Nothobranchius furzeri: one gene and its partners. The main gene of each other region encodes a partner of the protein of the gene in region 5 in a complex. Links are inferred from orthologs where the notes say so. Each region holds a gene or a part of one and is shown on either strand. Other genes may lie near its edges. The genes, in order: tbp, taf13, taf8, taf7, taf6, taf3 and taf11.

Evidence for each region.
Region 1: taf6 (region 5) and tbp share a complex: the UniProt entries of both Homo sapiens proteins name them as parts of the TFIID basal transcription factor complex. The link is inferred for Nothobranchius furzeri from reciprocal best matches to the Homo sapiens genes TAF6 and TBP.
Region 2: taf6 (region 5) and taf13 share a complex: the UniProt entries of both Homo sapiens proteins name them as parts of the TFIID basal transcription factor complex. The link is inferred for Nothobranchius furzeri from reciprocal best matches to the Homo sapiens genes TAF6 and TAF13.
Region 3: taf6 (region 5) and taf8 share a complex: the UniProt entries of both Homo sapiens proteins name them as parts of the TFIID basal transcription factor complex. The link is inferred for Nothobranchius furzeri from reciprocal best matches to the Homo sapiens genes TAF6 and TAF8.
Region 4: taf6 (region 5) and taf7 share a complex: the UniProt entries of both Homo sapiens proteins name them as parts of the TFIID basal transcription factor complex. The link is inferred for Nothobranchius furzeri from reciprocal best matches to the Homo sapiens genes TAF6 and TAF7.
Region 6: taf6 (region 5) and taf3 share a complex: the UniProt entries of both Homo sapiens proteins name them as parts of the TFIID basal transcription factor complex. The link is inferred for Nothobranchius furzeri from reciprocal best matches to the Homo sapiens genes TAF6 and TAF3.
Region 7: taf6 (region 5) and taf11 share a complex: the UniProt entries of both Homo sapiens proteins name them as parts of the TFIID basal transcription factor complex. The link is inferred for Nothobranchius furzeri from reciprocal best matches to the Homo sapiens genes TAF6 and TAF11.

Annotation. Positions count from the first base shown.
Region 1 is NC_091749.1:35,004,844-35,008,203, forward strand, and holds the end of tbp (TATA-box-binding protein), read left to right. Parts: intron 1-1,370; coding exon 1,371-1,465; intron 1,466-1,666; coding exon 1,667-1,746; 3' UTR 1,747-2,860; downstream 2,861-3,360. UniProt on the Homo sapiens protein: The TFIID basal transcription factor complex plays a major role in the initiation of RNA polymerase II (Pol II)-dependent transcription.
Region 2 is NC_091755.1:48,193,984-48,196,691, forward strand, and holds taf13 (transcription initiation factor TFIID subunit 13), read left to right. Parts: upstream 1-1,308; 5' UTR 1,309-1,423; exon of another isoform or gene 1,424-1,430; intron 1,431-1,496; 5' UTR 1,497-1,543; coding exon 1,544-1,918; 3' UTR 1,919-2,208; downstream 2,209-2,708. Other genes in the region: slc35c2 (solute carrier family 35 member C2), read right to left, coding at 1-66. UniProt on the Homo sapiens protein: The TFIID basal transcription factor complex plays a major role in the initiation of RNA polymerase II (Pol II)-dependent transcription.
Region 3 is NC_091755.1:40,695,089-40,699,273, reverse strand, and holds the start of taf8 (transcription initiation factor TFIID subunit 8), read right to left. Parts: upstream 2,801-4,185; 5' UTR 2,673-2,800; coding exon 2,625-2,672; intron 2,444-2,624; coding exon 2,290-2,443; intron 1,230-2,289; coding exon 1,131-1,229; intron 1,044-1,130; coding exon 981-1,043; intron 859-980; coding exon 734-858; intron 623-733; coding exon 475-622; intron 392-474; coding exon 249-391; intron 1-248. Other genes in the region: g0s2 (G0/G1 switch protein 2), read right to left, coding at 3,582-3,954, 4,042-4,184. UniProt on the Homo sapiens protein: The TFIID basal transcription factor complex plays a major role in the initiation of RNA polymerase II (Pol II)-dependent transcription.
Region 4 is NC_091741.1:82,927,740-82,931,239, reverse strand, and holds part of taf7 (transcription initiation factor TFIID subunit 7), read left to right. Parts: intron 1-923; coding exon 924-1,118; intron 1,119-2,651; coding exon 2,652-2,764; intron 2,765-3,500. UniProt on the Homo sapiens protein: The TFIID basal transcription factor complex plays a major role in the initiation of RNA polymerase II (Pol II)-dependent transcription.
Region 5 is NC_091750.1:47,777,018-47,779,903, reverse strand, and holds part of taf6 (transcription initiation factor TFIID subunit 6), read right to left. Parts: intron 2,729-2,886; coding exon 2,651-2,728; intron 2,570-2,650; coding exon 2,468-2,569; intron 2,391-2,467; coding exon 2,208-2,390; intron 1,809-2,207; coding exon 1,734-1,808; intron 900-1,733; coding exon 774-899; intron 664-773; coding exon 490-663; intron 1-489. UniProt on the Homo sapiens protein: The TFIID basal transcription factor complex plays a major role in the initiation of RNA polymerase II (Pol II)-dependent transcription.
Region 6 is NC_091744.1:59,253,509-59,257,519, forward strand, and holds the start of taf3 (transcription initiation factor TFIID subunit 3), read right to left. Parts: upstream 2,801-4,011; 5' UTR 2,619-2,800; coding exon 2,453-2,618; intron 2,078-2,452; coding exon 1,835-2,077; intron 1,573-1,834; coding exon 1-1,572. UniProt on the Homo sapiens protein: The TFIID basal transcription factor complex plays a major role in the initiation of RNA polymerase II (Pol II)-dependent transcription.
Region 7 is NC_091755.1:54,208,846-54,212,928, forward strand, and holds the start of taf11 (transcription initiation factor TFIID subunit 11), read right to left. Parts: upstream 2,801-4,083; 5' UTR 2,611-2,800; intron 571-2,610; 5' UTR 540-570; coding exon 363-539; intron 1-362. Other genes in the region: nemp1 (nuclear envelope integral membrane protein 1), read left to right, coding at 3,556-3,667, 4,008-4,083. UniProt on the Homo sapiens protein: The TFIID basal transcription factor complex plays a major role in the initiation of RNA polymerase II (Pol II)-dependent transcription.

The DNA of each region.
Region 1 (3,360 bases), on a different chromosome or scaffold from region 5:
TGATCTAAACTTTGCATCCTGTAACAAAAATACAGCACAAGTAGGGCTGGGGGTAAACGATTATTTTTAAAACGATTATTCTGACGATTATTTTATCGAATAGTCGACTATTCTAATGACTATTTAGAAAATTAATCTAATGATTATTTTTCTATTGCACAATTAACAAAAACCAGAAAATCTCAAATAAATTCCTCAAAAAAATTGATAAATTGTTACTGTAAGAGAATAAACACTACAGGCCTTCCATTTTGTATAACACTGCTTTTATTGTGTTGCGGTTGGTTATGTTCTGGTGACGTGTAGAACTTGGGAGTGCAGGCTGCTGCCTGAGAGGTGGTAGAAGATGGAGTGTCTCCACGCTGCTTTGTTTTGGTCACTTATGTGCGTGAGGCGAGTGGTCTTACGGGTTAAACCAAACTCAAGGTGATATTTTACACTAAACCGAAAACCCACAACACTCTAAATGTAATAAAAGGGAGATCTACACCACAAAAAAGATTAACTCTAAACCAAAACGTAACAGCTTATCCCAACGCAAGAAGCTGTTAGCGAAGATGCTAACAGTAGCTTTACCAACGTTAAGTTCAAGTTACCAAGTTTAAATAAACCAAAACACCCAGCAGCAAACAGACCAGCACGGAGGAGAGACTGCTACCACCAAAACAGCTCTCCTAATGTCTGAAAGAAGCTCCTTTATGAAGGGAGAAACGCTCCCGGTGATTTTCTACATCTGCGATAGAGACGGAGCAGCGCATCTGACCCCGGAAGTTGTTGTCCGTTGCCGGGAGACGAAGGCGGGCAAAACAGGAAAATAATCTAGTAGTGGACGGACATTGTTCCGGGTCTTCGGTATTTGGCGGAGATGTTAGTGAAGGCGGAGAAGAGGGCGAACTAGAGGAAAAACAGGCAGATTCCTCCTCTATTTACAAACTCCTGGGGATGCAACAAGTGGGCGCGGTGCGTCGACTTCCGGATCTGACGTCGACAAATTTTTAGAATCGAGCCGTCGACGTAGTCGAGGCTTCGCTACAGCCCTAAGCACAAGGGGAAGCTTCTCTGTCATCCTGGACATGATCATCTTGAGTTGAACTGAAAATAGTAGAAGGCTTATAAGTTCTGGTCAGAAACACACTGACAAGTCTTGTATTTTGTAAAATGATTTTGTCAAAATTGGGCAATATTATTGCTCCTTTATTCCAGATCATGTAGCAAGTATAATAACAGCATTGATACATTTATGGCCAATCCATAAGCAGCAAAAAACCTGATCTGAGCATCGCTAATGTTTGCAAAGATTTAATTAAAAATGGTACATTTTTTTAATTTAAAATTCATATAATTGTGAAAGTCTAACTTGTGTTTTGTAGCTATGAACCGGAGCTGTTTCCAGGACTGATTTACAGAATGATCAAACCCAGAATCGTCTTGCTCATCTTTGTTTCTGGGAAAGTAGTGCTCACAGGTAAGGCCCGAGCTCTCAGACGGGTGTATTTTTAGATTCTAGTTAAAGTATCACCTAATAATTTGGCACATTGTTTTGGATCTCCTTTTATTTTGAAAGGATTGTAATTTTTTTATTTAAAATAGAACAAGAGATTCTGTAAGTTTTCTAGATTCATCTTGATACTGATCCATGTTTCAATCTTTTTTGTTTTTCCTGAAGGGGCCAAAGTGAGATCAGAGATTTACGAAGCATTTGAAAACATTTACCCCATTCTGAAAGGTTTCCGCAAAACGACGTAGGACCTGGGGTTTCTTTTCCACCTCCTGAAACCTGATCCTCTTATTTCATTCATTATTTAATGTCACATTTTTAATGAGAAGGTAGACTGATGCAGGTGTTGGGAGTTTTTTCATCCATCTTTCTGTCTTCAATTTTTTTAATCATCATTTTAAAGGTTGTTCTTTCACTCTGACCATGTTTATTGTGTCCTGTGGTTGCAGGTTTTTGTTGTCCCATCTCATCCCCAACTGTACATATGACTGTAAAAAATGTAAAGTGTTGTTGAGCAGAAAAGCAGTTCGACGACTAGGACTGCTGGTTTTATGTGAAGCTGTTTTAAATACTTTTATACTCTCAGCTGTTAGCATTTGTTGACCTCTCTTTAAATCCCCTGCTGTACATGATACTTGGGATTTTAAATCCTATGCTTACTCCCTTAAGGTAGAAAATAATCCTGATTAATGACTTTTTTTTTACACTCATTGGGAGTAGACGCCCATTAACTCAAGCTGAGCTAATCTTTATTTGACTGGCCAAGTTGTCCATGAATGTTTGCTGCTGCTAAACAGTTAAGTTGTTTAGAGGCGTTTGATAACTTTCGACTTTGTCTGGTTGAAGTCGTGAAACAATCTTTCTGTTGAAAGAGAGAACTGGTTTGTTGTGGTTACAGGAAGAAAGTGTTTAATGGTTAAACTTGAATGTGTGTATATGTTCTTCTGTAATTAGAATGAGAAGTGATGCCAATCTTAAAGTCGATGCAGCTCTTCAGCGGGATTTCAGTAGGCTCAATATTGATATAAGGGAAAAAAAGCTCTTATGATTAATATTAATTTCAAACCCATGCAGTATAGTTTTAAAAATGTTTTTGGTTGTTTCAAATCAGCAGAATTTTGGCTGTTTGGCCTTTGTCTAAAATTAAAACTCAAGTAGGATCACATTGAAGTCATTGCTGGTGGTCTTATGTGTTATACGGTCAGCTAGTGACGTTTATGGCAACTAGTTAAAAGTCTGGTTTATTTAGTGACATGTTCAGTCTCCATCTTTGTCTCTTCTGTCTGATTTCTGTCCTCCCAGCAGACTCGAAGAAGTTTGGTCCATTGTTTTCTTTTCCACCCAATAAAAGTGTACATATGACTCAAGTCTACTTGGTTTTCTTTGCAGCAACATTTTACAGCTGAAGTCTCTTGCGTAAAACCAAAAGTCACCATGAAGAAATAAACTGTGAAGACTAAAATACTGAATCCCTGTATAGAAATAGTTTAGGGAAAACCTCTGGGTAAGAGTTAAAACATGTTGTAGTTGGATGTTAGAGCTGCAGAAAATACATAATTTCTCTGAATATCTGAAATAAAGTAATTTGTGTATTAAACAATACAATCATTCTTACAAAAGGAATTGTGGCTTATTTGATACCCATCATAAAAAAGACAAGTCAGGATTGTCTCCCATGTAACATCAGTCAAAAGAGAATCATTTGTAGGTGATTATGTTGGAACTGACATGTCAAAATCATTAAATTTTAAGAACAAGGGTGGTATGGGCTTCTGGTCAGGATGCTTCCTGGACGCCTCCTTGGGGAGGTGCTTCGGCATGTCCTGCCGGCAGGAGGCCCCCGGGTCGACCCAGGACACGTT
Region 2 (2,708 bases), on a different chromosome or scaffold from region 5:
ATAGTAGAGGAGGACCAGTCCAATAGTGCAAAGACCTCTGAAGAGGAACTGAACTGGGCACGCCATCCGGGACTTCCAGGACCAGCTGTCCAGAATGGACTGTTAATGCAGAGGGAGCATCTCCAAAATACCTCTGCACCCCACCACACCACCCATAATGGTTCACTAGAATAAGGACCTAAGGGGAAAAACAACAAACATATGAGATATGTTATTCGGATTCAACAGAACATCCTTATCTACAACAGATAATGTAAATATGTGAGATATAATTCAACTTAGATTATCTGAAATGACTGGGGGACCTCACCCTATACACCTGAAAGACACATCCGGTCTAGCTTTAACAAGCTCTAGCAGACAGCCATGACTTGTTAATGTAACTTAAAAATAAACTATTTTTTAAAATAAAGTTCTCAACTAAGGAGAGTTGTAAATAAAACCCTTCACTTCTAGGAGCGTTAAATTGTATTTTATTTACCTTTATTATAATTCTGACCAAGAACCATGCGATTTGGATTTGGAAGATGCTATAAAATTAAACCAAAAAGTCATTAAGACTGTGTTACCACAGCCACAGCGTTAGCCTACACAGCTAACAGCTAACGAGACATGTGGAGATGAACGGCGTAGCACACACATCCTACTTTACATCTAGATATAATATAAAGTGTGTCCGGTTTACCAGATGGCTTGTGAAGAATCATCACAACCAAGCAGTTGCTATCTTTAGCCGTTAGCTGACAGCTAAGCTAACGCAACTTTCGGATCTCTAAACGTTTTAACAACATTAACATAGAAACATTTAGTAGCTAACCAGCGACTCTAGTGTAGTTCTTACCGGTTCTGATCTTGTGTACACGTCTGAGCACAGAAAGAAAGAAAATAAGGCACTAGATATTTGAGCTAGTGTTTCTTTCCGCTATGTTTCTTCTTCTACGCCTTCAACGGAGGTTGACACATTATTCACAAATGCATGCTGGGTTAGAGAAGCAGAAAACAAAAACCGCCAAAAAGCTTCAACTTCATTATCATTCATGATATAGTTTGGCTAAGTAGAAACAAAAACACTCAAGAAAACAATTGGAATAGATGCAGATCTGAAATAAACCTAATATACATATGAAGTCGTTATTTTTTCCGTTTGTTGAATTCAGCCTGTCAGTGTGACTCTCATGGCTCTAATATTTATTAATTTATTTTGTTTATTTATTTATTTATTTGTGACTCGTTTCAATCTCGATTTTAAACAAGAATTTATTCAAAAGATTAGATCTGCGCTGACGTTTCAAACTCAGTCCAGTAGGTGGCGGTCATGCAATTTGAAGTTGGCGTGTCAAACGCTGAAGCCCAAAAATACCAAAGAAGAAGAACAACAACGAACGTAGAAGAGTCTGGGGATTGTTGTGATCCAGTTTTCAAAGTAAAATGTAATTTTTGTTCTCTAAAACGCATTTTGATGTTTGCATGTTGTAAGTGTGAGGTTTATCTTACAGTAAAGCGTCGTTAAGGCTCGTTTTATCGGCGTTTTCCTCCAGAATTAATGGCGGACGAGGAGGACGAGGCTGGCTTCGAGGAGGAGTTGGAGGACGGGTCCAGCGGAGTGGATGTCGGCCACGGCAGGAGAAAGAGACTCTTCTCTAAGGAGCTCCGGTGCATGATGTACGGGTTTGGAGACGACCAGAACCCGTACACGGAGTCTGTGGATATTCTGGAGGATCTGGTGATCGAGTTCATCACGGAAATGACCCACAAAGCCATGTCTATCGGGCGCCAGGGCCGCGTCCAGGTGGAGGACATCGTTTTTCTAATTCGCAAGGATCCCAGAAAGTTCGCCAGAGTCAAAGACCTCCTGACCATGAACGAGGAGCTGAAGAGAGCCCGGAAAGCTTTTGATGAAGCCAATTACGGCTCCTAATGAACTCGCGTTTGTTTGTCGCTTCCTGCTAACTGGTTTGTGTATTTTTTAGTGGTTCTCACTTGAATAACAGAACTGACTGTTTTAATGACATGTTTACACTGTCAAGTCATCGGAAACTCTCAAATAAAGTTAGTTTGTTTCAAATAAGTCCCAACACCAACAGGAAAACCAACATCTGTTATTTACATTGAAGAATGAAACTTTCTGCCAACGTGTTGGAAAGGATTGTTAAGGTTTTTTTAAGTGTTTCCATGGAAACTGCGTGAATAAATTAACATTTCATTATCTTTCCTGCTGTTTGGATTGGAGAGACTTTTGTGGTATATCAGGTGTTTCTGCAGTTTAAAATTAGAGTTTTTACACCTTAAATGTACCCGTATGTCGTTAGTTTCCTAACTTTGTTGCTGTCTGCAGAAGAGATGACCTGCTGTGGCACATCTGGCTGGGATTTCATAATTGTGAGTGTTAACCCTTTGATGCATAATGGTCACTACAGTGGACAGGTACTCAAAATTGTTATTTATTTGTTTTTGCACAAAGCACAGCTGTTGAAGACTTGATGGCATTTGAGCCCCTCCATTTGGACTTCAGTAAGTCAAGCCAACATGTTTCATGCTCAGAATGCACGCTGCCCACTGAGGTGGACATGTAATAAATTATTTGTAAATTATAAAAAAAATATATATTTGTTGAAATTTGTTTCATTCACACCTAAAGACGAATGAAAAAAATCATGGTTGAAGATTTCATAATTCATGCATCAAAGGGTTAAAGCATTTTGTAATAA
Region 3 (4,185 bases), on a different chromosome or scaffold from region 5:
ACTAACACCACACTAGTACCAATAAAGAGCTCTTGTGTTATTTTGGATAGCGCCTTATCCTTCCTATTACTCCTAACCGTTCTAACACACTCCGCAGTGTAGCTGCGACTCTCTCTGTTTCAATCCTAAGTGCTGCTTTTTATTGCCCTGTTCCTCTTAGTTTAGACCTTCAGAATGGCACCTTCAAAAAGTTATTTTTACTACTACTCTACTGCGCCTGGCACCAATTCCCAGCTGTGAAGACTTACTGTCACCATATTTCCAGCTGTGTTCTCGCTGTCGGTCTGGTCGTCCTGCTCAGAGGAGTCCGTCTCCTCCAGCGACTGCAGTTCCAGCTCCGAGGGCAGGAGGGCGCTCAGATATGGGATGGTGCTTGGCCGAGCTGCGATCACTAACAACAGCAATGTGTTATTCTGTATTAATGCACAGGGTTACACACAATCTGACGGGTAATGTACAGTCGGGATCCCTCACATGGGAAGGCCGTGACGTCGTCTTTGAAGAGGCTTTGAGTTTCTCCAGTTTTGGCCATGAAGCGTGTGAGGGCCCGTTCTACGTCTCTCCTCTGGTTCGCTGCCTTTTCTCTCACCACTTGGTACTCGGACACAGGCTCTCTGAATGTCTGAGGGAAGGAAGGAGAGCCTCGCAAAACACCTGTTTATGCAACATCACCCACTATGGGGGTGAACGTGGTTTTATAGGGCTATTATGGAGATTATGTTGATGAACTTACAGGTGTTTTGATGTAGGTATGAGGGTCCGGAAACTCTGGGAAGTGGCTAGGAATATGAGGTGGGTGAGTGCGCTTGTGCCCAGCTGACAGGGATTTAGGTGTTGTTGGTGTGTTCGTGACTGGAGCTAAAAATCAGGAAATACAAACATGTAGAACTTAAAACTAGCCTACAACCGTGACTCGTTACTTGATATCCTAGGGTATCATCACAGCTCTAACAGCAGAAATGTCAGGTTTTGTTTCTTACGAGCTGTAATGACCATCCTCTGTGACCGCTTGGCGTACACGGGGAGAGTGTCGACATTAAAACCTTTCCAAGGACAAACAATCACCGATTAGGAGTGTGTTCACAGTAAAAAAAAAACATGTCACCATGCTGATGCACCTTCAGTCTTACCCATTTCAATGAGTGTGACCACCGTGTCAGAGAGGGTTGGGACGCTCCTGGCCGTGTGTTCACAGTATGCTTTGGCACAACGACCTATTTCACTTATATCTTTACAGGAAAATGATACCATTAGTATTTCAAAAACTCTACAGGCACGCTTTTAAACAACCAAACAAATACCTCATCAAAGGCCAGCACCAATCGTACAACACAGTAGTGGATAGAAGCTCTCAGAGTCATAACCTGCAGTCACTAGTTCTTATTTAACTTCTTTAAACGCTGGACGTGACTCCGGTTGAAGACGTTCATTTGAACACATTGTGATCTCTTAACAGCGACATATTTTTTATTAAGTTCTCATTTTATTTATTCAGAGACGGGTGAGGGAGCTGACTGTGGTTGTGTGTGTTTGTGTGTGTGCGTGCGCAGACACGAGGGTCCAAATGCGGCTTGAATTCACCATTTGTCATCTCACCTGCTGTGCTGCTAGTTTCCCTGACTCCACAGGGGTTTGCCTAAAGTTGTGCGCATTTTCCTGTCAGGTTTTCTTTATAAATGTGCGTGGAAAGTGACACACGCGGTTTTCAGACCCGGTTTTGTTTATAAATGGGGCCCCAGATGGAGCAGAAACAGCTGAAACATAGAGGACGGAGGCTCTTTAAAGAGCAAGTCACCCCCTACAAGAAGCGTACTCCACTCCCACTTCATGTTTGAAAAATGCAACAAATGCTGTTGCCTAGCAGACCGAGAGGGTGGAGCCACTAACAAATACACACACGCACGACATTGTGACATCATAATGTACCAGTTTACATCATAGCATACCTCTTAGCCAATAGCGGTGGCAGATTTAAATTCAAATGCAGTGAAGAGTTTTTACCTGACAACGGCACAACACTGACAGTTTAAGGCAGAAAATTTAAATTTTAACTAAAATGCACTAAAGTGCAAAACTATTGACCACACGTGTCTGCAGCACGATTAGACACGCATTTATATAGTTTATCAGAAAAAATAGTTGATTTGGGGGTGACTTGCTCTTTAAACTAACCTAGACTGATTAGATCAAGTGAAGTTTAGACGTAAACATGCATTCATCTGAATAGCCTTAACCTGGTGTTGGAAGCTCGTGCTCAGCGGACAGAAGCTACTGTTTGTAAACACTTACAGCTCTGCATCATCTCCGTGAGCGTCTCCACCGCGGCCTTCTCTGCGCTCTCAAAGCCGCTCTCGGTCAGCAGGGCGCTGACAACAACCTGCAGGGTGCGACGGCGGGCCAGCTGGTAGTTCTCCGCGGCGCTGGAAGCCGCTTTAGCGCCACGCTGAAAGAGCACACACACAAACCCTGGCGTTGTAAGGTGCTAGCTTAATGTAAATATCTATCGAAATACTACTGCTCGTGCCAAGGACCAACATGTTTATTTACAGTAGTAATAACTGTGGCGATGAGAGGCGCTTGTAAGCTAGCTGGCGCGTTCTAATGCCCTAAAAAGCATCTCTTACCCCGCAGGAGGGCAGCGACCCTCCCGATACTACCGCTGGATCCGCCATAAGAGGTTAGCTCCAGGTTTCCTTCTCTAACAAATGCAATTCTTCTTCTATTTCTACTTATCCAGAAACCGCTTCACCGTCGATTGTAAACACAGCTCATACTATGACGTAATTTCCGCTTTTGTTGCGGAAGTGAAATTGAGTATTAGAGTCTTTCACTCTGCCATCTAGTGGCTATTTGCTGACATAACGTACCAGTAAGGGCGCACATCTCCCCAGTTTTACTGCTTACTGGTTACCAGAGGTGGTCGGGCCTTTCGAGCAGTGGCTCCCACACTTTAGCTCTGTCCTTGTGCTCTTATTGAAAAGATTGTGTTGAGAAACAGCTGAAAACACATTACGTTAGAATTTTTTTATACCTTATTTTATGTTCTTTTGTTTTTACGAGCACATTTTTACACAGGTTGTATGCGGTGTTTACAGTTTTTATTTGTGAAGCCCTTGGTGATATTTTTTCTGCGAACAGTGCTAAATACACATTACTTTTTGTTTTACTCAATAAAATTCTCCTCATGCATAAAGCTTAAACCTCTACCGTTAAAGTCGAATAAATCTGAATCTGTGGGCGCTTTAAATTAGGGCCAAAATTCTGCGAGCAGAAAAAATGTTTATTTAAGTACAAAATGAATGACACGAATGGCATTTCATGAGCTCCATAGACACCCAGTGCATGTCAGCCATTGGAACCTGCTGCCCAGCAGCATTACTAAACTGTATCCTGCAGTTTTTATTGTAACATTTCAGCTAAGTTTTAGCCACCAGCTAAGAAAAACTACACATTTAACCATATCTGAAATAAATTAAAGAATAAAAAATGAGCTGCTTGATTTGGTAATGCAGGCTACCACCACCACCACCACCAACAATACTGGTATATCTTTGTCCTTTTAAGTGGTGTGGAGTGTTTCTTTAAGAAGCATGTAAGCGGTTGGCTGAGCTTCTCTGGATAGATGTCCCCAGATATTTAGTCTTGGCTCCAAACGATACTGCTCCCATCATGTCCTCAACTTCGGCATGAACTGTGGCAGAGTCTGATTTGCTCGTACTGTTTTCCTTATTCATCTCGATGTAGAACTTTGCTTGTTCTTCCCCTGGGCTGTGATTGTCTAAAAAGGGCTGGAGAATCATCTCCACCACACCACCGACCATCCCGATCATCGCCAGAGTCGAGCCGAGCATGTAGATCTTAAGCATGCTCCAGCTGGGCTTCTGTCTCAGCATTTCCTTGGCAAAAAGGATGATTTCGTTGGTGCTGTCCATTTTCTGATATGCAATGATTCTGCTGGAAGAAAAATAATAGTTTAATGTAGTGTTCTTTTGTGGAAAAAACAATTATCACAAAGACATTTGGCTAATGAATGATACTCACTCTAAGGCAGACGTCAAAAATGTGAATTTCTCCCAAGTGTTTGGCACGATCAGGCATTCGCAGGTGGAGAGGCTGGAGCAGACTTCCCATTTAAATACAGCCGAAGCCGCGTTTCCTCCCACAACAGAGGAGAGACCATGCATA
Region 4 (3,500 bases), on a different chromosome or scaffold from region 5:
CAGATCTTTATACATTCGTATGCATGTATTGTTTGCTTATAGACGCATTCAGTCATATGTTGCTTCTAGGGATGTAAGAAAATATTGATATAGCAATATATCGTGATCTTTTTTCCTGCGATATATCGATATTCAAAAGCTGTGTATCTAATTTTTGGAAGAATTTACATGCAAACGTGTGTATTAACTTTTCTTTTGGTGCAAATCAAATGCCGACCACTAGTTGGCAGCAGTGTACAATGGGTTCTGTTTCCACCATTGAATTGTAAATCCCTCTATCATGGGTCAGATACCTCATGTTAAACATGATAAGTATCAGTTTTGACTGTTTATTGAATTTTCCTACAATAAATTCAGCCTAAAAAAATCGCTGATATCGTCTGACTGAATGTATCGCAATATATCGGGATATATCGTATCGCCTCCCCGTATCGTGATTCTTATCGTATCACCATCATTTCACCAATACACTTCCTTAGTTGCTTCCATATACTTTACCAGTGCTGCTTACAGTTTGTAGCCTTTTCAATTTAGACTGTCCACTTAAGAAACTTTTGACAAATTTTAAATGTTACAAGTTTTTTTTAATGGCCTTTAAAATGAAAAACACCTTATTTTGTGATTTTATTTGTGCTGAGATATTTTTTTTTATTAAAAAGGAAATTAATAAAACATGATGATCTTCATGTCAGTTTTTACAAAACGCCCAAACAGTCAAGGTTTGGGTTTAGAGATCAGAGAAGATTATTCTGGATGTTTGGACTCCAGGATGTTTTCCGTCAATGACCAACAGACCAAAAATGTTATCTTTTTATAAACTTTGGTGTCTCCAAGGGAATTCAAAGCCATCTTAGTTTTCAGAGTTTCAGCGTGTCTTGTCTGTGTGTTGTTGTTAATAACACCGTTGTGCTCTGCACGGCCAGTCCCGCGCGACGAGCTGAGGGAGATCTTCAACGACATCAGCAGCTCAAGTGAGGAAGAGGAGGACGAAGGGGACCGGCATGAAGACGAGGACCTGAATATCATGGACACAGAGGATGATCTAGTGCGACAGCTCCAGGAAAAGCTCAACGAGTCGGATTCTGCTCAGCATGAAAGCGACAGAAACAACCAGATAGGTGAGAATTAGAAGTTTGGTCGTTGTTCATCACAAGGTCAGCAGTGTGGGGGAGAATAATCTCACACTTTAAAGCTGTTTAACCTTTTTCTAAAATGCAATGTGGGCCTCGTTTATAAAACTTTGCATAGAATCCTTACCAAAACCCTACTTAAGCTCAGTAAAGAATAAATTACTCACGCAAACTAGTTTACTACGACCTATAATACTCTGCTCACTCACAGCTGCACGCAGTTTCTGCTTTCTGTATCATGGCCAGGTTTCCTGTGTCCAAAGCGTACTCACGCCAGGTCCAGTGTTTGCTTGAATTTGCGCACAATTATTCTGTCAAGTTTTTCTGAATAAGTCACGTTTGCATGGAAAGTCACTTATGCAGTTTTCAAACCTTGTTTTCTGTGCAAGCAAGCTTTATAAATGAGGCCCCTGGTCTGTAAATTATCATTTTCATTTACCTGTTTAAACATTTTCAGGTTGCAGGTTCCAGGAAACGTCTGCACGTAAAGTGCAGACTCAAATTTGAATCTCTTTACTTCCAAATAACCTACATACCTAGCTGAATGAAGCAAGTGCTGTGTTGGATTATGCAATCTTTCATGCTGTGCTTGCAACTCACACCTCAGGGTAAATGTTCAATCTCTTAGCCAACTTGGTTGTTAATTTTTTTGTCAGAGTGGTCACAGCAACAAGGTTGGACTTTGGAAGAAAGTCAGACATTAAATTAAATCAGATCACCCCTAGGTACTTGTCGAAGCAGATGTAAAAAATAAACGGAACCAAGTGTTTGAACTTTTAATAAGAAGTGAGCTTTCTAGGTCAGACATCACACACAGTCAAAGAAATAGCCTGGCTTCCCCGTAAACGCGCATGCTGCTGCACCCTGCAGACGAACACACTGACAGCTCTCAGCTCTCCTCCTTAACCAACCAGGCTGACAGGTGTTGCAGCGCGGCATGCAGCTCAGACAGCTGTCCGGTCTGACAGCGCCGGGCCTCCTTATCTGCATACGTGAAGCTGTCAGTCAGCAACTCCACTGGTCAGCTGCAGACCAGCATCCAGGCAGAGCGTTTTCCAATATGTTGCAGAATGGTTTGCCATGATTCCAGCTGCTGTGCAGGCTTGTAATAAATGGTGCAGCAAGGGCCCCTTGCTGCTTAATTTAGCACAATACAGCAACTGCATTGGAAAATTGAGCACCAGTGGAAATAAGCAGTGAATGGATGCAATTAGTTAGAAAAATATGGAGCCAGTGCAGCTACAGGTTAGTGGGAATCAGTTGAATTGAATTAATTGTAACTCTCTTTGTTGAACCTACAGCAAACTGATTTAATTGTCTCATAATGCGTCACTGCTGCTGGTGCATCATCCGTTAAACAGACCAATCGTTCCCTAGAAGGTTTAATTTACTTAATCTGCAGTCATGCATGCATTGTTCTCCAGAGTTGTTTAGTTGCATCAAGCGATGCCAGACCATTGTTTTTTTCTGAGTTGTTTTAGGACCTTTTTTAACACGTTGGCCTCCTGCTGTTTTCTGCAGTTATGGAGTACCAGGTGCAGATTAACAACATAAAGGCCAAGCTTCAGGAAACTCTTGCCCGCAAGAAACAACAGGAAGAGCTCATCATGAAGGTGGAAAACCAGGCCCTGAAAGTAAGTGGCCAATGCTTTCTTTTTGCTCCTGAATTGCATGAAATCACTAAAACACACACACAGGGTCCGAAATTAACACTCGCCACTCGCCAAATGCGAGCAAATTGCTCCATTTGGCGAGTAAATTTTTGAGCTCTATCTGCCACCTGGCGAGTAAATGTTTGCACCAAATTAGTTATGTTTATCAGTCATCTTCCATGGATTTCTGTGATACTCCTCCCGCCTGCATGCAACGTACACAAACGTGCGCGAAACGTGAGCGCCGCATCCAATGTCATTTCCACCTATCCCATTCAATCAGTTTATCAAGTTAGCAGTTAGCTTCGTGTTAAAACTAGCGGTGAAATGTGGCGGTTTTTAACTGGAGTCAGCCAGCCTTCCAAAAGAAAACTCGTCGAACTGGAAGAAAAACCACCAGGACCAGTGGCAACCAGATTTTGTGAAAAGTGGCGAACTGGAGATGGCGGAGTCGTGAGACAATGGCTACATTATGATGGCCACGTAGCGTTGCTGCCTTTCACAGACACTTTTTTTCTGCACGTGCTGCAAACAGGATAGCCGTCTTCTATCAACTGTCCCTCGGCATTCTTCAAATATCCAAAAAATGCCCGTACTTCCCACTTTGTCTTCTTTGAGGGATAATAAATGTCCCAAGTGCTGCCGTCTCCTCCTGCCATTATTTCAGCTTTGGCTTCAAGAAAGTTTTGGTCGTAAACAACAAAGCGCGCATGTGCCG
Region 5 (2,886 bases):
TTGAGGAGAACTTCAAAGTACTCTGCTTACCGATCCACAACGTCCTGAGTCGAAGTCAGCAGCACACTGACCCCACTATAAACAGAGTTGGTAGGGCACTGCTTTCTTTTTGGAAGTTAGAAACTTCTGACAGGAGACTGCCATACATTCCCAGCAGACCCTCACAATACGTTTGGGTCTGCCAGGTCTGACCGGCATCCTCCCCCACCATCGAAGCCACCTCGTCACCAGGTAGTGGTCAGCTGACAGCTACGCCTCTCTCTTCACCCGAGTGTCGAAGACACGCCGCAGATCAGATGAGATGACAACAAAGTCAATCATGGAGCTGTGGCCTAAGGTATCCTGGTGCCAAGAGCCCATATGGACCTTTATGTCTGAACACGGTGTTCATTATGGACAATCCATGACGAGCACAGAACTCTAATAACAAAACACAGCTCGACTCAGATCAGCGGCAGACTAGAACACTTAAGTAACTCTGCAGCTTACCTGTGTGATTGTTAACGTGGTCCTGTTGACCTGCTGGGCTTGCAGTGTTGCTTGAGTTCTGGCCTTTACTACATGAGAGCACAACATGGGCCCAAGGTAGCCATATTCTGCCCGATACTGCTCCACGTTGTCCGGCTGAGGTCGTATCTTGGCAATAACACTCGCACAGTGTTTCTTTAAAAAGAGAATAAACAGCTTATTGCAACCTTTAAAGCACTAGTTGTTAGTCTCTCAGTGTTTTAGTTTACAAACGAGTCTTATTCACATCTAACGACATTTATTACCAGTAAGAGGGTTTGAACATGTTCAGCTCCTATCTTGTCAATGTTGGAGACCACAGGTCCCTCCATCACTGCTTTGATGCGAGCTCCCTCTACGGTGAGTCGAGGAAGGATCAGCGTCTTTATCACCTGAAAAGGTCAAAAACAGGAAACGATGATGTAACAATTCTGAGACACAGAAGTCGTAAATTAGATGTTTTTTCTCTTGTAACAAACTCTACCACCTTCATTTCAGACGATGGCACTTTTCCATTACCTCACTGTGAAAACTTATAATTCTTCCAAATAGAGGCGACCAATATTGGTTTTTCTATTGCCGACAGGTAAAGGTGATGGCCGATTAGTGCTGCCGGTATTCTGGGCTGTTTTTCGTGGTCGATATTTAAACGTTTTCTACCTCATGTTCATGCTAAAATGCCACCAATAACATCAGTTGATTTACAAAACGTTTGAAACCGAATCAGTTTTTGAACACCGAGTTTAACCAACTGTTAAATCTTAATTTTATGCACGGCTCAGTGTTGGAATCAGACATTTAACTAAAGTTACTCAAACAAATTAGTAAACTGGCAAAACTGGTCAAATTTAAGACATTTTAGTTGAAAATAGTTTTTTGAGCATTTATTAAGCAGATGTTATTCAGGAATGTAAATATCCACAAATTTAATTCTGCAGCAGCACCAGGCTGCCCGAGGACATGCCCGACTTTTAATTGGCTTTACTAAGGAGTCGCATCGGCCGATGCTGATATCTAAAAAGTGGTAAATATCAGCCGAGATATCCGTCCACCCCTACTGTCAAAAGGAAAACAACTCAAATGGGAGCACCCCACCACAGAGTTTTTTTTTTTAGAATTGTTTCTATTCACATATTCTAAATACAGTTAAAATAATAGAAACCTGTTCATTGATTAGCAAAAAATTAAGTTAAAATCTAAAAAAAAAAAAAAAAAAAAAAACTTACATCAGCTCCGAGTTCAGCAAGTCCAGCAATGCAGCCGTATCGTGTCGTCCACTGGGTCTTATCATCGAACAAACTCTGAAAATGTCCCCCCCCAAAAAAACACTGATTTAAAATGAGTTTGTGTCACTAGAGCTAGTATTAAGAGTTGTTAAATAATAGGTCATTTGGGTCATCACTGCAGATGTGCTGCAGAACGTTCTACACATTAGTGTTATGATCATCATGGTAAACGTTTGCCTTTAGGGTAGACCTGTTTATTTACATGGGTTTGGTTTACTGGCTCGATTGGTGAAGAACAAACACTTTATTAATGAAATATTAATTACAGGTAAGTTATAAGTGGAACTTTGATTAGATTTTTTGTTGTTCAAACATTTTCTAGTCAAAAACATAAATTCTAGCCACAGAACTTTTCTCTCTTATCTCTTTTCACTTCAAAAATGTCTTACGACCACTTTCCTACCAAACACCTACCTTGGTCAGAGTCTTGGTAACACGTGACTGGATGTTGTTGGTTGTGGTGCTGAAGGTTTTACAGCTCTGAGCCATCAGGCGAGCAGCAAAGTCCCGTAAAGCCCAGTGGTTATCAACATCTGGTCGTAAACACAGCTGTTTACTCACAATACAGGTGACCACAGCTGGGATCAGCTCATGCAGCTACAAAGAAAAACAGCTTTGTTAAAATAATCTTTAGTTTAAAAATGGCGTGGACTTCTGGTTTTTCATTTACTCACATATTTTTCCAAATACAGGGTGGGATTGTCCATCAGAGCTTTGACCATCCGCATGAGATAAATCAGCAGGGCCAAGTTGTTCTGCACCACGTTTACACGGACCTTCGAGGAGAGCGTAAAATCAGCTGACTTATGTTTGATGTGACATCAACAATGTTTACGTTAGGTTAGAAAGATTCTTACTCCTTCAGAAATAAATGTGCTGAATCTTGGAAGCATCTGATACAGACCAGGGTCCGTTGCAATACTCTGTAGAGCTTCCTGTATGAATCAAATAGAAAAACCAGATCAGCAAGCTCACACACATTTTCTAAAATGATGATTCTGCTCTCCGACTTTCCACTTTAAATGGACACTAGGCAGTTTTGGCTAGCACCACCTTGTGTCCGTTTAGTAGAACCAAAAGCAAATCTTATCTC
Region 6 (4,011 bases), on a different chromosome or scaffold from region 5:
AAGTGGAAGGGCTGAAAAGAGGAGCGACGTCACCCAGAGAAAAGGGCGGGATGACAGGCTGTTTCTGCTTGTCCTCTTTGCTCCTGTCTTTACCCTTGTCCTTCTTCTCTTTGTCCTTTTTACTCTTATCCTTCTTCTTGTCCTTGTGCTTGTCCTTCTCCTTCTTAGGGCCATCTCCATCTCTAGATTTAATTTTGATGGAGCCCTCGGGTAGAGAAAAGTCTCGATGAACAAAGTGATCCTCGTCTTTCACTCCAAAATCCTTCCAAGGCATTTTGACATCCTTGGAAGACTCCTTGTTTTTGTCCCTGTTCTTCTCCTTGTTCTTCTCCTTGAGTTTGCTCTTATCCTTTTCCCGATCTTTGTCCTTTTGTTTATCTTTGTCCTTCTTCTTCATCTTGGTCCTCAGCTCCTTCTTCAGCTTCTTCTTCACGTCTAACGGAGACACCATCTTGCTTTTCTCCTCGAACACTTTGAGCAGAGGCTCCGGGGTCGGAGGTGAGGCCGACCGTGACGACATGTACGGAGGCTGATTCTGAGGCGGGGCAGCTGGACCCCCGTGATTGGCCTTCCGGATCACCTCGTTGATGGAGTCATCCATAGTCCAGCTGTCCAGGCCCATCCGCGGCTGTAGGTGAAGAAGCGTGGACGTGTCTTTTAGCAACATTCCAGTCCCTAAGTGGAATTTCGGCGTAGACGGCTCCATGATGGTCAACCTCCTGGGGCTGGAGAACCCATTGCTTTCTGAATCAGAGCCAGAGGAGAAAGCAAAAGGATCGGGTTCCCGCTCAGCACACGCTCTGGCTATCACAGCATCGATAGAATCGTTGATGGCTGTGTTATCAGGTTCTAGTTTGATAAAAGGCCCTTCGGCTAAGTCCTGGTCCTCCATGCTCGGAGGAAGGTGAATGTTCTCTTTGCCCATCCTCTCACTCAGCGCAGACAGAGGAAACTTTTGCAGGACGTCTGCTTTGCTCTGAGGCATGGGAACTTTAGAGGAACCCATCTTTGGACTCTTGGGGCTTTTAGGACTCTTCGATCTGCCGGGAGACTTTTTCTTTTCTTTAGACGGTTTTGGAGAATGGATGGGACTGCCAACCACTGGAGCAGGAATTACCCTTTTGGGGGACTTAGTCCGTTGTCTGCCAGGAGATGAGACTTTGGGCTTTCTCACTGGAGTGGTGAAGCCCTTGGGGTCTGACAGTTTTGGTATTATCGGCTGAGGCCTGAAAGAAGGTAGAACTCCAGACGGCATTTCAGGTGACAGCGGGTCCAGGCTGTCATGAGAGGGAAGGATGCCAGGAGGAACGCGCTGTGAGTTGATGGAGGTAAGAGGCTCCCTAGGTTCCACTCCCCACTCGGGGCTGAGGCCAGGGTACATGCGTGGTCTCTTGGAGGTGGGCATCATGCCCAAAGCAGCATCGGGACTGTCCAGGTGCCTCTTTAGCGGATGGTTTTCATCATTTACGGTCTCGTCCTCATCCACCTCCTCCTCGTCCTGCTCATCCATTGCCACCTGCATAGCCTCGGCTGAGGTGCCCATGTCTGCAGGAACCTCCTCCTCTTCCTCTTCTACCAGGCAGAGACAACAATGACAACATGTAATTCAACAAAGTGGCAAAAGTTAAAGGAATGTTACTAATATATGAATGTAAAATATTAGACTGTGCTGCAAAGTTTCAATGGTTTATAATCACAGAATGTTAAAAGCTGCAGTGAAACGACAGAAAACAACAGGTGTCTGTAATAAGTGTTTTATAAACTAAAACCTTGAAGAAAAAAGTCAACGCAGTTCGGACTTTATGTCGCGCATGTGATCAACGATGGCACGAACCTTCCTGTAGGGACACCAGAGGTGGCATGTAATCTGGAATGTAATCCTTTCTCTCCTCTGCGTCTCTGACTCCAGGCTGAGGGAACTGCAGGACATTGTTTTTGCTCATGGGAAAGAGTGGTGTCTGATGGGCGAAGGACACGGGCTCCAGATTGTGGACGTAGTCCTCCAGCTCGCTCAGATTGACCCCCATCAACCTGAAGGCTTGGCTGACATCATCCAGCACTGGATCTGTTCTTCCATCTATAAGATAAAGAACAGAAGATTTAAGCCTGAGCAGACACTTTAATTATTCTGTCCCAATCGATCATTTTAGGGCTGGTAAAGACATGTGACTCATGTTTGACAGCACATAAAGAAACTAACTTCAGATCAACAGGATTAAAACTGACTTAACCAACTAATTAAGGTGAAAATAATGCATCTATGTAATGGTAAAATAACCGGAAAGTAGAGTATTTTCACACAAAAATGAGGAAGCAGCAGTTGTAATGGTACTGCACTTTTTGACACATGGACACGAGGGGGCGCCAGCTGCAAAACAAATCAACAACGTGATCGACAACTTCAGGTTTATTGGTTCGGAAAAGTGATCGGAGTATGAAACAGAGCACTTACACAGCTCAGAGTACCGGTGGCAAACCCTCGCCAGCTGCTGGATGTACCTATGCAGCACATCGGACAGCAGATCGCTTGCAGTGAGCTGAACCGCATCCCAGCCCAGAGCCTGGCAGATCTGCGCCACCGAAACACGCAGCAGCGAGCGGGCATAGCTCTCGCACATCTCTCTGGGTTCGCTACAGTAAATATTCCGGTCAAATCCTCATTAGAGACATGCTCCTGGTCTTCATGTTTGGCGGAAACCCCAATAGGCTTGGGAAAACCCACTATCCCACTTAATTTTTGACATTTACTTCAGTAAATATATTGGCGCTTTTGCCAGAGTCGCCATCTTGAGTTAATCGCTTAACCCAACCCCGATTTCTAATCTACGCATGCGTACAAATGCAGTACAGCGCTGTCATACGAAACAAGGAAAATTATGGCGAGCCGACTTGTCATAAAGTATTGCTACGCTGAGCACACTTGCAAAATTCATTTTTTTCAATCGCCTCTCATCAAAATGATTTTATTTAGTACAAAACTCCCAAATAGCAGTAACATAAATATTAATATTTGCTGCAAAAAGATAACACGATTATGGATAATACAACACAACATTGTTACGAATTTCAATCTTAATTTTATACCTTCTTAATAATGAAGATCTTAAAATATACTAACCCGGAACGCTTTTGTTTCAACTGATCGTGAAGAGTGAATTGTGTAAATATATGTTACAGCGGCATGCCAAATAGTAATGACATGTAGCTTAGCAGGCTGTTAGCTCAGTCTGTCAGAGGAGAACAAGACTGAAATGTAAGCGATTATCGCCAAATGTTGAGATAAACACTTTTAAAGTGCTACAAAAACCTAACATGCAGGAGATGAATTAGCAACCACTGTTGGTTTTCTTCCTTTACCACCAAGCCACATCTGCGTCGGCATGTTAGCTAGCTGGCTAATGAAAACGAACAGGGAAATTTATAGTTTTTAAATGTACTGTATCAGATATCAAGCTGGAAATCTGTAAACACGAAATTAATGTTATTGTTTCAACGCCAAGGTACATTTACAGTGCAGTGGCTGTTCGGTTTGCATGCTATTATAAGATTTTGCACACGGCGGTGCTGGTTTACCAATAATCAGAGTAAATTATTTATTTAAGCCTTAAAATTTGATTAACACCTAAAACGTGGCAAAATACTCTTCATTGTTTGTATCGTCTTTTAAAGACTCGAAAACTACGTTTCCTTTGTCAAATAAGGTTTTACGCATTTAAAATTTTGCATATACATAAAATCTTTTAAATGTATTTGAAAATAAATGATTAATTTTCTTTTGTGTTAGCCTTTACATTTTTTTCTGGTAGTACTCATTCCAAAATAGCATTATTTAAAGCACTCCATTTCCAGTGTGAACACTACCAGTTCTCCCATCTACTCATCCTCACCCTGTAGCAATAAGACTTACCCACAAGATGATGCTGACATCTCCATATCTGCCATCATGCTGGTCAACTGGTCAATTAATGATGAAATGCTGTAGCCCTTCTATTTTGTTTAAATTTGTGCGAC
Region 7 (4,083 bases), on a different chromosome or scaffold from region 5:
CCCGTAAGAGTCTAAGCAAACTACAAGTTTCTATCTGCTGTAAATATAAACACATAAAATATCCAGTTGTCCTATTATTAGTAATAATGTGTCCAGGATTAGATGCAGGGGATCAGGCCCAAACCATCACACCACCACCACAAATCTTCACTTTGATGTAACAAGATACCTACTTTGTTCATGCAAGCATAAACATTTACACACCTGAGAACACAGCTAAAATAAAGCTGATCTTAATTAAAACAGGTTTTAATGTAAGGAAACTTCAATTATGGCTCTTCTCTATAGATTCATGTTTTACTATTTAGAGCTATCAACTCCTGTCAATGTTTCCGCGCACCATTATGGTTAGCTTCACTCACAGCTTTAACCAGAGGTGTGGGCTGATCCTGCACGCTCGGTTCTTTATTTTCTTCTGTAGGTTTTTCTGAGACGAGTTCATTTTCAGGTTGATCCTTCCTAACTACTTCTTCATCGATAGCAGAAGCTGCCGTCTTCGGAAGAGAATCTTCTGTTTTGATCCGAGCAGGATCTGCCATCGTTTCTCGACGTCTCTCTACGATTCAGCCTCTGCAAACATAAAATGTTCTCAACATAAATTTATCTGGATAAATATAGACCAATTAACTGGTAAACAATCCAAATATGCTATTAATAAACTTGAAATCAAAATAAATGATACTCTGGTGAAAGATCCTCTTATCATAGCTACTGAAATGAATAAATACTTTGTTGACACAGTTCGAGATATAACTCAACAATTCACACCGTCTAACGGTGTTTTTGATCCTGTAAATCCTTGTCATGCTGTTTTCAGGATAGAAGAAATAACAGAAGTGGACAGCAACCAATCAAAGGCAAAGGATGTATATGGTCTCTCGACACCCATTTTTTAAAACTGCACAAAGATGCACTAATTCAGCCGGTAACTCATTTAATTATTCTATCGTTTAAACAAAATGTTGTGCCTTTAGCATGGAAGCTAGCTGCAGTCACGCCAATTGACGAAACTGAAATGGCCAATTATCGGCCCATCAGTATTCTCCCCACTATCTCCAAGGTTGCAGAAAAGTGGGTGGCAAAGCAACTGAATGCATATTTAAATTTTGGACACACATCCCTACATCCAATGCAATTCGGATTTCGTAACTGCCACTCCACAGAGACTGCAAATTGTGTCTTTGTGGAAAAAGTCAAAAGTCTCCTTGACAGGCATGCATGTGTAGGAGCTGTGTTCATAGACCTCAAGTAGGCTTTCGACACGTCGATCATCAAATTCTTCTAAACAAATTGAGTCATTTTAATTTCTCACCAGAGGCGCTGCTCTGGTTTCAGTCTTATCTGTGTGACAGAAAACAATATGTGTCCTTGTTTGGCAATAAATCCTCCTACATTAGTTGTCCAGTTGGAGTTCCCCAAGGCAGTATTCTGGGGCCGATTTTGTTTATCATTTATATTTATGATCTTCTCGAAGTATGTTCAAAAGTAAACATACAAATGTATGCAGATGATGCTGTTATTTTTACTGATACTAAACGTCCTCAGGAAGCCTCCCAATTGTTGACTGCAACCATGGCCCATGTACAAAAATGGGTCAAGAGTTCCCACTTAAAGCTGAACATAAAAAAAAACTGTTTGCATGTTTTTCACCAAAAAAAACAAACAATTGAACTAAAAAAAATCAAACATCTTTCTTGAAGGGGTAGAACTTGATATTGTCAAAGAATTCAAATATCTTGGGTTAACTTTGGACCCAACCTTAACTTTTAAGAATCACATTAAACAACTTTTAAAAAAAAACTGTCAATTATAATGTCATTTTTTTAACAAGTTAGACCTTTTTTCACTCCATGCTGCAAAGTTATTTTTACATTCTATGATTTTGTCTCACATGGAATAGTGTATAACCTCCTGGTCACTTGCTGCTGGTGCAACACTCAAACCCATAGAATCCCTTTTTTTAAAAGCCATAAAAATCCTTGATAAGAAATCATTTAGTTTCCACCACTGCTTTGTTTTAGATAAATATAGACTTCTTAATCTTAGTAACTTTGTTACCTTCAAGAATGCTTGCCTGTTTTTTAAGGTTTTACATGGACTAGCCCCTTTCCCACTGACAGATTGTAATAAATCGCGGTCTATCAGTGGAACGTCGACCAGGGCTACAGATAGAGGAGACTGTGAGGTGCCTTACAGACGCACTGCTTTTGGCCCGACCACACTATCCTAACTAAATATTGGACTAAATATTGGAATAGTCTACCACTCAGCATAGGTGACTCACAGTCATGCAGTTCCTTCAAATTCAAACAATGGCTGCAGGAAACCCAAACCCGTATCCATCAGTAATTTGTCCTCACCGTGGTGTTTTGTGTGTTTTCTTTCTGTTTTTCCTAGTTTTAAATACAATACTTTACTTTCTTTTATTGCTTTTATTACCCGCCTAGGGACTGCAGATGTAAATTAGCACTGGTGCTACAATCTGGCATATTTACCGATGCAATTTATTGTTGAAGTTCATTAATATGCACTGTCCCTATTAAATAAAGAAAGAAATGAAATTTACCGTTAAGGTGGATTTTCACGACAGAAATAACAGCATATACATACCTTCAAGCCAGAACGAGCTCAACGACACCACAGGAAGCAGCAACAAAACTAATTTAAACGTATTTTAGGTAGCCGTGAACAGAAAGTGGATTAAACATGATACATTTGTATAATATGTTAAAGCACACAACAAACGTGAAAAGCTAAGCTAGCGCTTCTTTCTTCTTCTTCTTCTTCTTCTTCTTCTTCCTTTTCTTCTTCGTGGGTTAATGGCGTTTGGAAAAAAAAAATGTTGTCGCCCCTTACCGCACTGGAGGGTAGCTGATGAGGCGAATTCATAAACTCTAGGGAATCTTGAACGTAAAATAGTGCTGTTCTGTTTATTGCCACCAGCATAGAGCTCATATTTTTCATTTAAGGAAAAAACAGACTTTGGAAGAAATTAGATAGTCTTTCTACTCAGGAAGTCTTTTACATGTATTAATCCAGATTTATTTCCTTCAAATCCTCCTCCTCCTTCTCTTTTGTTATGTCCCCGACAGGAGATGTTAAAATGTGAAGGAGGGGTAACATAAGAAATGCGACAGCGGGTTTAAAATGGCTTTAATTGTTATAAAAGGATCTACCTGGATAAGATGCCTGTGTGGAGCTTGCTTCAAACTCAGTTTTTCATTGGCTTTTTGTGAACGAAGAGGTAAATTGCTTTCCTCTAGTGGCGAAAAGCCGAAACTACACGTTGGTTCTGGTCATTTTTAGTCATTGGGTAAAACATCAGTAGAAAACATGTTAGCGTCCTTATATCAATGAGGCTAGAAACTGGAGTTTGAAGTAATTATCTTTAGGTAAGATAATACTTCTTTTTTACAAAACGTACTATCTCTTTAACAAACGTAAGCTAACGTGCAACAACAACGACGACCCAGCGCTGTGATTGGCTGGAATGAGCCGCGAGAAACGGAAAAGGAAGTGGTAGATGTTAGGGGAGGAGCTTAAGGTAGAACGGCCATGGCGGGATGCGTGAAAACGACACACTGTTGTTACAAGTCAGCAATAACCAAAGTTTTAGTCTTCGTTGTACTCTTTATCTGTTTACCCCAGTCTTCACTCCAGAGTACTGGTAAGAAGCTGTGTTACAAAGTGGGAAAATACACAGTCACTTACTTTATTGTGTTTTAACTCAGGCTAATCCAGCTAATTAGTGTTAGCTTGTTTCTTTCACAAAGTGAAACTGCTTGTGTGAGTTTAGTGGTGCTTCATACGTTCCTCTTTAATTCTGTTGGTTATACATGTAGTAGTTAACATCACCCCAATTCCCTTTTCGTACAATTCCTTTACATTTCACATGGATAAGCTATTAGTTGGGTTTATCCAAAAGATAAATCATTCTAACAATTAGCAGTAGATGATAATCTCACAGGATTATCCAGTCCAGAGACATGTCTGCTTGTGAAATCCAGGGAAAGCAGCCCAAATAATTGATCTGCAGGATGGAGAAGAGTTCACCATGTCAGGATCTAACCGGTTCTGCTACAG